2 linked regions of the Callithrix jacchus genome follow. The protein of the gene in region 1 interacts with the protein of each later gene in a biochemical or structural test. Links are inferred from orthologs where the notes say so. Each region holds a gene or a part of one and is shown on either strand. Other genes may lie near its edges.

Evidence for each region.
Region 2: the proteins of LCAT (region 1) and APOA1 form a complex in vitro, tested with the Homo sapiens proteins (6 studies listed by BioGRID and IntAct, with this or other methods). The link is inferred for Callithrix jacchus from reciprocal best matches to the Homo sapiens genes LCAT and APOA1.

Annotation. Positions count from the first base shown.
Region 1 is NC_133521.1:25,473,743-25,477,994, forward strand, and holds the start of LCAT (phosphatidylcholine-sterol acyltransferase), read right to left. Parts: upstream 3,012-4,252; 5' UTR 2,990-3,011; coding exon 2,836-2,989; intron 2,173-2,835; exon of another isoform or gene 2,145-2,172; coding exon 1,988-2,144; intron 1,911-1,987; coding exon 1,795-1,910; intron 1,701-1,794; coding exon 1,605-1,700; intron 1,525-1,604; coding exon 1,300-1,524; intron 1-1,299. Other genes in the region: SLC12A4 (solute carrier family 12 member 4), read right to left, coding at 3,725-3,816, 3,965-4,098, 4,226-4,252. UniProt on the Homo sapiens protein: Central enzyme in the extracellular metabolism of plasma lipoproteins.
Region 2 is NC_133511.1:16,472,773-16,477,074, forward strand, and holds APOA1 (apolipoprotein A-I), read right to left. Parts: upstream 2,830-4,302; 5' UTR 2,656-2,829; exon of another isoform or gene 2,627-2,655; intron 2,402-2,626; 5' UTR 2,382-2,401; coding exon 2,339-2,381; intron 2,152-2,338; coding exon 1,995-2,151; intron 1,414-1,994; coding exon 822-1,413; 3' UTR 754-821; downstream 1-753. UniProt on the Homo sapiens protein: Participates in the reverse transport of cholesterol from tissues to the liver for excretion by promoting cholesterol efflux from tissues and by acting as a cofactor for the lecithin cholesterol acyltransferase (LCAT).

The sequences.
Region 1 (4,252 bases):
GGAAGATCACAAGCTCAGGAGTTAGACCAGCCGGGGCAACATAGCAACACCTCATCCCTACTAAAAAATAAAAATAAGTTAGGTGTGGTGGTGCATGCCTATAGTCTCAGCTACCCAGGAGGCTGAGGCAGGAGGATTGCTTGAGCTAGGGAGATTAAGGCTGCAGCTATGATTGTGCCACTGCACTCCAGCCTGGGTGTCAGAGAGAGACCCATGTCTTTTTTTTTTTTTTAGACAGAGGTTCGCTGTTGTTACCCAGGCTGGAGTGCAATGGTGCGATCTCGGCTCACCGCAACCTCCGCCTCCTGGGTTCAGGCAATTCTCCTGCCTCAGCCTCCTGAGTAGCTGGGATTACAGGCACGCGCCACCATGCCCAGCTAATTTTTTGTATTTTTAGTAGAGATGGGGTTTCACCATGTTGACCAGGATGGTCTCGATCTTTTGACCTTGTGATCCACCCGCCTCAGCCTCCCAAAGTGCTGGGATTACAGGCGGGAGCCACTGTGCCCGGCTGAGACCCTGTCTTAAAAAAAAAAAAGGCAGGTGGGGCTTCCTGAGGACTGGGGTGTGGGGATGCTGGGGGGTGTGGGGATGGTGGAGGGTATGGGGATGCTGGGGGGTGTGGGGATGGTAGGGGGTATGTCGATGCTGGGGGTGTGCTACCTGTTCTCCCTTGGACATGTGTCTGTCTGCTATTTGTGTGGCTTGTGCTGCAATGGGGGTCACAGAGTTGTGGTCCAGGAAGGGGGAAACGAGATGGTGTCTATTTGATGTTTATTGGTGGTGTCTGATGAGTGTTTCTCTCTTCAGACTGTGAGCCAGCTCCCAGGGTACAGCGGGTAGGGAGTAGGTGGTAGCTGTCAGTGCTGGGCCCTGGTGCCACTCCCTAGGGAAGGGCAGGCGGGGCTCTGAGGGTCTGGCGCTAGCTCTGGCAGATCCATCCCTAGTAAAGCACATCCCTGGGCAAAGGCATTCATGCAAATGGAAGGCAGGCAAGGGCCAGTTAGGCAGGTTCTGGGGCTACAAGGAACAAACCTGGGGGCAGCGAGCTGGGGTTTTCTTTCCAGTGTTCACTGCCCCTTTGCCATCACTGACACAGACTCTGGAAGGAGCCACCCTAATTGCTCAGGCCAGGGTCACTGCTCTGGGGGCCAGTGACAGCAAGCTTGCTGGTCCAGGGGTGGTAGACAACACCCCCAGAGGCCACTGTAAGCAGGAGCCGCAGTGAAGGCAGGCCCAGGATCAGCTTCGTCTTACCACCCTCCCCTCTTTGGGCCTAAGTGATCAAGGCCCTCTCACCTGAGGCCAAGACCAGCATGGGTTTGATGGAGCCACCCCAGGGAGCCCCAAGAGAGATGAAGCCATCAATGAAGCGGTCCTTCCAGGCCTGGGGCTGGCGCAGCAGGAAATAGAGCAAGTGTAGGCAGCCGAGGCTGTGACCGATGAGGAAGACAGGCTTCCCATAGGCAGCGTGCATCTCCTCCACCAGCCCCGCGAGCTTGTGGTAGTACTCCTCCTGCTGGCCTGAAGTGGGTGAAAGGGGTCAGGGCAGCTGGGGTGGGGCCACCTGTCCAGCCCCAAGCCTGTCCTCGGCAGAGACTCACCAGGCTCCAGCCGCCAGTCATAGGGGGCAGCACGCACAGTCTCGTCCCGCACGTAGCCATTGTTGACCAGGTTCTGTACCAGCGTGTGCAGGTACCCTGTGGGGGAGGCAGCAGCACTGGGAGCTCGGGCCATGCCTGCTTCGGGCCAGCACCCCGGCCTGGAGCCCCGGCCCTGCTCTCTGACACACACCTGCCAGCTTGCTGCTGTCCAGATACTCCACAGAGTAGGTCTTGCCAAAGCCAGGGACACGGATCTGGACACCAGGGGCGTTGGACACAAGCCCGGAGCTCCGGTTGTAGACAACCCTAGGGGCGGGGTGCCACTCAGCAGCCAGTAGCTGTGGGGCAGCATGTGGGGGCTGGGGTGGAGCACGTGGCTGTACCTGGTGTTATCGATCCAGCAGTCTACCCCGAGGGGTAGGAACATGTTAAGATCCAGCCAGATGGTGAAGAAGTCCTCTGTCTTGCGGTAGCACATCCAGTTCACCACATCTGGTTTGTCCAGCTTGGCTTCTAGCTGATTCCCCAGGCAGCCGGGCACTGTGAGCAGCGGCCCTCACTCTGGACTCTGGATTCCCCCCCGTGACCCTTACCCCAGTCACCCCAGATGCTGCAGTGACCAGATCTGCCCCCCACCTCCCACACCCTCAACCCCTAGGTACAAAGCACACTTACCCTCCCCCGCTCACATCCCCTCTCCCTGCTGTCCCCCCAGTAGCCAAAGCCCAGGCTTTCCTGAGGAAGGGAAGGTGTTGGGGTCGAGGCCGCTGACCCCTGCCTCTACAGAGCAAACACCCATCCTGGCACTCCTTTATTGCCAAAGTCCAAGGTGGGAACAGATAGGTCTGGGGGCGTGGGGGCTGGGCCTAGCAAGGCCAGGCATGGATGGGCCTCTCCTGCTCGATGGCCCTAGGCTGGGCATCCTGTCTTTGGTGGGTGGGGGCCAAGGAAGGAGTGGTGGGGCTTGGCCCAGAGTCTGGTGTGGCTGTGGCTGACCACAGCTTGTGATGCCCCAGCCAAGACCTCAGGCACACCCCATCCCCCACTCTGCCCCCTGAGGTAGGCAACTGAGAGACAAAGCACTGGGGGAGAAGGGGAGGGTCATTCCTCTACTGGATAAGCTTTTGGCCCCTCCCCACACTGAGGCAGATACTGGGGCTTAAACAGGACAGAAGGGCTTTGGCTGGGTCGGCTGCTGGCGCGGTGCATCAGGGGCCTGGCGGGGGCTTACCGAGGATGACAGGCCGTGTGTGGTTACTGAGCTCAGCCTTGGGCGTGGTGTGCGGGGGGAAGAGCACATTGAAGAGCCAGAAGGGGGCGGCAGGAGGGAGCAGCAGCCCCAGCAGCAGCGGCACCCACTGCCATGGGGAGCCAGGCGGCCCCATTCCAGCCCTGGTGCCTACTGCCAGAGAAAGGAGCACTGGGCTGGCCTTATGTGGTGTGGGGGTGGGAGGGGCCCTAGGGCCAGTGGGAGGGACAGCCTGGCCAGTGGGAGTGGTGGCCAGAGATTGCCGGAAAGGGGCACAGCCTCAGGGGCCGGCTATGGGCCTGAAATCAGTCCCGCCTTCTTCTCTTGGCGCCAGGGGAAACAGAGCGGGAGCAGCAGGAGGCCCAGAATACACAATGTTTTATTGAAAAAGTCAGGCCTCAGCTTGCTGTTTCCATTCGGCTCAGCTTGGTGGGGGGCCCTGCCAGTAGTAGACTGAGCCAGATCTTCCTGCAGGCGGCTGGGCTGGACCTCCTCCCTGGCTACCCTTCCCTTCGTCTCTGATGGTGACATCCAAACAATAAATATGCAATAAATAGCGCTCCTGAGCTGGGCTGGGCCGGCTACCTTCAAACCCCACTCGGCCCCCACCAGTCTTCTCTGGCCAGGACAGGCCTACTGGGGTGCTAGATGGTGAAGTCCCCAAACCTCCCAGGGTCCCACAAGACCTCGGCTCCATCTCCATTTAGAGGCCCAGACCTGGTTTCCAAGGAGACCTAGCAAAGCTGGGTCCAGGACAGGGCCAGGCAAGCAGAGCTGGCAGGTGGGTGCTGGGAGGAGGCTGTTACCCCAGACCACAGCTTGTGATATCCCGGCCGCGACCTCCACTCCAGGCCACAAGACGACACTGGGCTCAGGAGTAGATGGTGATGACTTCACGGCCACCACCACGCACCAACAGCACCCGCTCAAGGCCCTCAGTCAGCACCTCGAGGAACTCCATGTCTGCAGGACCTCGGGTCAAGGAGGCAGCACCAAGACCAAGAGGCAACCAGGCAACCACACCCACCCAGGGGCACCTGGTAGAGGAGCTGCCGGTCTGACCTCCCACACTGTCTACCTCCCCACTGCCTGCCTCTCCACAAAGGGATACAGTTTTCATCACCTTCACTGTTCTTGGGTGGGCCAGGCATGTTTAGGAGAACCAGGCGGGCATCGTGGGAGCGCGTGACAATGACTTCATTGAGCTTCACAGCGGTGTGCATACGCCGTACATTGGATTGGTCCCTACATGTAGTGTAGCCAGTCACAGGTCACCATGAGCTGCCCTGGCCCACCTAACACAACTTGTCTGCCCCACCCCACCTCTGCCCCTAGATTCCAGCGCAGCAGGGTCTGTTTTTGCTGCACTTACGGCTTAATATGCACCAGCTCCCGGAAA
Region 2 (4,302 bases), on another chromosome or scaffold:
GGATGCAGTGAGATCACAGATATGAGAGCATCTTGGAAATAAAAATGTACCTGCAAGAGGTGGTGGTGATTTTTCTGACCCAGGTCAGCTTCTGTCAGAGCTAGCAGAAAGACCGGGTGGCACCGCATGGGGCCGCAGGGGGCGGGGGGCTGGCTTCCACTGCTGTGCCTGAGGATGCTGTGGCTATTGCTAGGTGGGATGGGAGGAGTGGGAGGGAGATTGTGAAAAGGGAATTGTCTGCTTGACAGGTTTTTGAATTAATAAAGGAGTATAGGCGCAAACTCCAAGCACTTCGCTGTACCTGGCCTAACCTCTGTCCCAGTTGCTCCCTGAGGCCGCTCTGCCCCCACCCCTCTGAAAGCGGCTCTGTGTGGGAACACCTCTGGGGACTGGGAACCCCACTGCCCCCAGGTAAAGTAACCCTGTTTCCTGGCCTGTCTCGGACAGGGATGTAGGCCTCGTTTGATCCTCTTTCAGGACATTTGGCCTTGGATTGTCTGTGGCTTTGGTGGTCCGCTGTGACTTCCTGTCTACTTGAGCCTTGCTAAGGCAGACTCTACTCCCTCCCTCACAAGCAGCCAGGCCTCCAGCAGGTCCTCCAGCATCCATCTTGGCCCTAAGAGGCTCGGTCTGGGCACGGAGTTGTTGAGATCCGGCTGGAAGTCCTTGGGCCAGGGCCAAAGGCCCCACCCGGGCTCCCCCGATGTCCCGCCCCCCCCCGCCCCCTTTATTCTCCCAAAAGAAAGAAGCTGCTTCCCACTTTGGAAACGTTTATTCTGAGCACCGGGAAGGAGAGCGGCGGCTGGCGCCTCACTGGGAGCTCAGCTCTTGGTGTACTCCTCGAGCGCGCTCAGGAAGCTGGCCTTGAAGCTCTCCAGCACGGGCAGCAGGCCTTGGCGAAGGTCCTCGAGCAGGGGCTTGGCCTTCTCGCCGAGTGTGCTCAGATGCTCGCTGGCCTTGGCGTGGTACTCGGCCAGGCTGGCGCCGCCGCTCTCCTTGAGCGCCTCGAGGCGCGTGGCCAAGCGCTGGCGCAGCTTGTCGCTGTAGGGTGCCAGTTGTGTGCGCAGCGTGTCCACGTGGACGCGTGCGCGGTCGCGCACCTGCTCTCCCAGCGAGCTCAGCTTCTCCTGCAGATCCTGCAGCTTCTGGAGCGCGCCCTCCTGGAGCTCCGTGCGCAGCGGTTCTAACTTCTGGGAATAGAGTTTCATCTCCTCCTCCCACTTCTTCTCGAAGTCGTCCAGGTAGGGCTGCACCTGGGCCTTCACCTCCTCCAGGTCCTTGCTCATCTCCTGCCTCAGCACCTCTGTCTCCTTTTCCAGGTTTTCCCAGAACTCCTGGGTCACCGGGCCGAGCTGTTCGCGCAGCTTGTTGACAGTGGAGGTCAAGCTGTCCCAGTTGTCCAGGAGCTTCAGGCTGGACGGGGAAACACAGTGGTTGAGGGCTGGCCTCCCAGCGCCCCAACCAACCCGGGGTGAGTCCTGGGCGACACCTGTCCGCGAAGGTGCAGTGGCCTAGAGTTTCAACACTCTCAAGCAACACCTCTGCCCTGCCCTGCCATGCCCCGTTGTGCAGCTGGACCGAGGCACAGAGAGGAGCTAAGAAAGAGACAGAGCTGGGACTGGTGCCCAGTTCTCTGGTCTCCAAAATGGGCCCTTGAAGGACCTCACCTCTCTGCCTCCAGCATATTCTCCTCTCCCAAGACAGCCCACACTTTTGCTGGGCAGGAGCAGAGGAGGTGACGAAGGGCAAGGGGGCTGCTGCACTTGTAGGCACAAGCTGGCGTTGTTACCACAGATCAGGCAGCCCTGGTCTGACCTTTGCAGGGGGCATGGGCTGTGACTCTGCCCGGGGCTCCCATTCCGGTCTCTGCATCCAGACCATTTGTGGGGCCCAGCTCGTCAGATAGTAGGTGAGGACTCACCAGTCTGGATTCAACATCTTCCCACAGGCCTCTGCCCCCTGCCCCTGCCCTCAACCCCAGGCTGGGTCCTTACTTTAGCTGTTTTCCCAACATGGAGCTTTCAAACTGGGACACATAGTCTTTGCCGCTCTCTTTGACTGAATCCACGTACACAGTGGCCAGGTCCTTCACTCGATCCCAGGGGCTCTGGGGAGGTTCATCTTGCTGCCAGAAATGACGAGCCTGGCTCCCTGAGGGTGGGAGGGGAGACTCAGATCAGGCCAACTGTGGGCTGGGATCTGAGCCAAAAGGCCAGGCTTGGAGATGGGAGAGAGGGGGCCAGTGAGAAACCTGCTGCCTCTGCCCAGGAGGGTGAGCCAAAGGGGTTTAGGGAGAAAGCCCCCCAATGGTTGGTTCCCTAGGCTGGGGGACACCTACCCGTCAGGAAGAGCATGGCCAAGGTCAGCACCGCAGCTTTCATCCTGAAGGGCTGTGGGGGACCTGGAGGAGAAGAAGGGCCTGGCTGAGTGGCGGCAGGAGGGGTGTGTCTCTAGCATGCTGAAGCCCCCTGCTCCCCCCACTCATTACAGCCAGGTGAGGAGAATGTGCACAGAGTGGGAGAAGACCTCAGGTTCCCAGAAGCCTGGCTTGGGGCAGAGCCTGAACCTCGATGCCTCGCCTCGAGCTGGGTAGCCAGAGTCACCCGGGACAGGCAGCAGCACTCACCTCCTTCTTGGGCAGGCAGAAACACTCACCTTCTTCTGGAAGACTAAGTAGCCAGCTCTCGCAGGGCCTATTTATGTCTGCAGCCAGGGGCTGGGCAGGGAGACAGATAAGCCCAGCCTGGGCCCTGCTGCTGCTCACTGGTCCTGGCGATGTGGAACTCAAGAGTTCAAGGATCAGCTCTGTCCCTGGGGAAGGGCAAATACAGTGGGCAAACAGCGAGCTGCCGAGCTGCAGGGCTGCAGGGCAGGGGTCAAGGGTTCAGTGGGGGCGGGAGGGGAGTGGCTGCAGGCTTGCAGGTCTCCAGGGTGGGGTCGGGGTTCCCTGCACTCATCCCCTTCCCCTCCATGGGAGTGTGTGGGCGGTTGCCATTGTCCATTGTGCTGGCAGAGGGGAGGGGAGGGACGCTGGGACTCCTCCACCCAGGAGACCTCCTCCCCCACCATCCTGCATTCCAGGGAGACTACATCACTCCCACCCCTCTTCCCCCACCCCTTCCTCCCACCACTGTGCTTCTTTGGTCCCCAGCAGGTCCTGCAGGCCTCTCTCCAAGTCCCCCAAATTGGTAAACCTGGGGAGAGGGGAGAGGGCTCTGTGGTACCCAGACTGAGGTTTCAGAGACCTCTTGCCTTTCAAAACACAATAGAGACCAATCCAGAGCTGCCAACTTTTAATTTTGTCATGTAAAGATATCGTCTGCCTCCAAAAACCCTCATGTCTACCATGACCATCACTTCAAAAAGGAAAGACTTTAGCAAAAAAAAAAAAAAAAAAAAGGGGGGGGCATAACCTCAGAATAACATTGCAGAGTTGAAGTCCCTTAGAGTGAAGACGCCTTCCTTTGCATTGTTCACACATTTGATGATACACAGGTGAGACGATATCCTAGCCCTTGGAAGCCCTGGTGTGGGAAGAAGACCCCTGGGCAAGGAAGTGGCCGGAGACCTGCTTTCCCGTTTTACTCGGCCTCCATCTTGCTGGAGGAAGACAGTGGGCAAGTTATGTAATCTCTCTGAGCCTCAGTTTCCTATCTGCAAAATGGGGCAAGAATGGTCAGAGTTGTCAGAGGCCCCCGAGACAGCCTGTGAATGCATCCGTTGGTGTTTGCAGCACCATCTTGTAAGGTTTCTCCGGGAAGGCCCAGACCTCCCACAGCAGGTTACTGACAGAACCTGAGTCCTAGAGCCTGTGATGCAGGCTGAGAGGAACTGTGAGATCACTCCAGCCTCTCCCAACACCACCGTCTCACAGATGAAGAGACTGAAGAGCATGAAGGGACTTTGCCCAAAGGCTCTCATCTCTCAGGGAGTTAGAAGAAAGGCTGGACCTAGAACCCGGTCTCTGGACTTAGGACACATGGCAGAAATGTACCCTGCACCTTCAGCCCGGGAAACTCTAGAAACCAGCCTGACGTCTCTGTTTACCAGATCGGGGAGTGGTCGGCCTCATGCCTTTTATTTCAGAGAAGATTCTGGAGCCAGAAAACCTTAGATTTGATTCCCAGCTCTGCCACTTATTAGCTGTTTGACCCTGGATGAGTTATGCTATGTAACCTCCTCACACATAGTTCCTGATTGAAGATAATGATAGAACATGCCATCGCCCTGAGTTATGGCCGGGTTACTGTGTGGATAACATCCCTGAAGATTCCTCATCCCTGGAACCTGTGACTTTGCTAC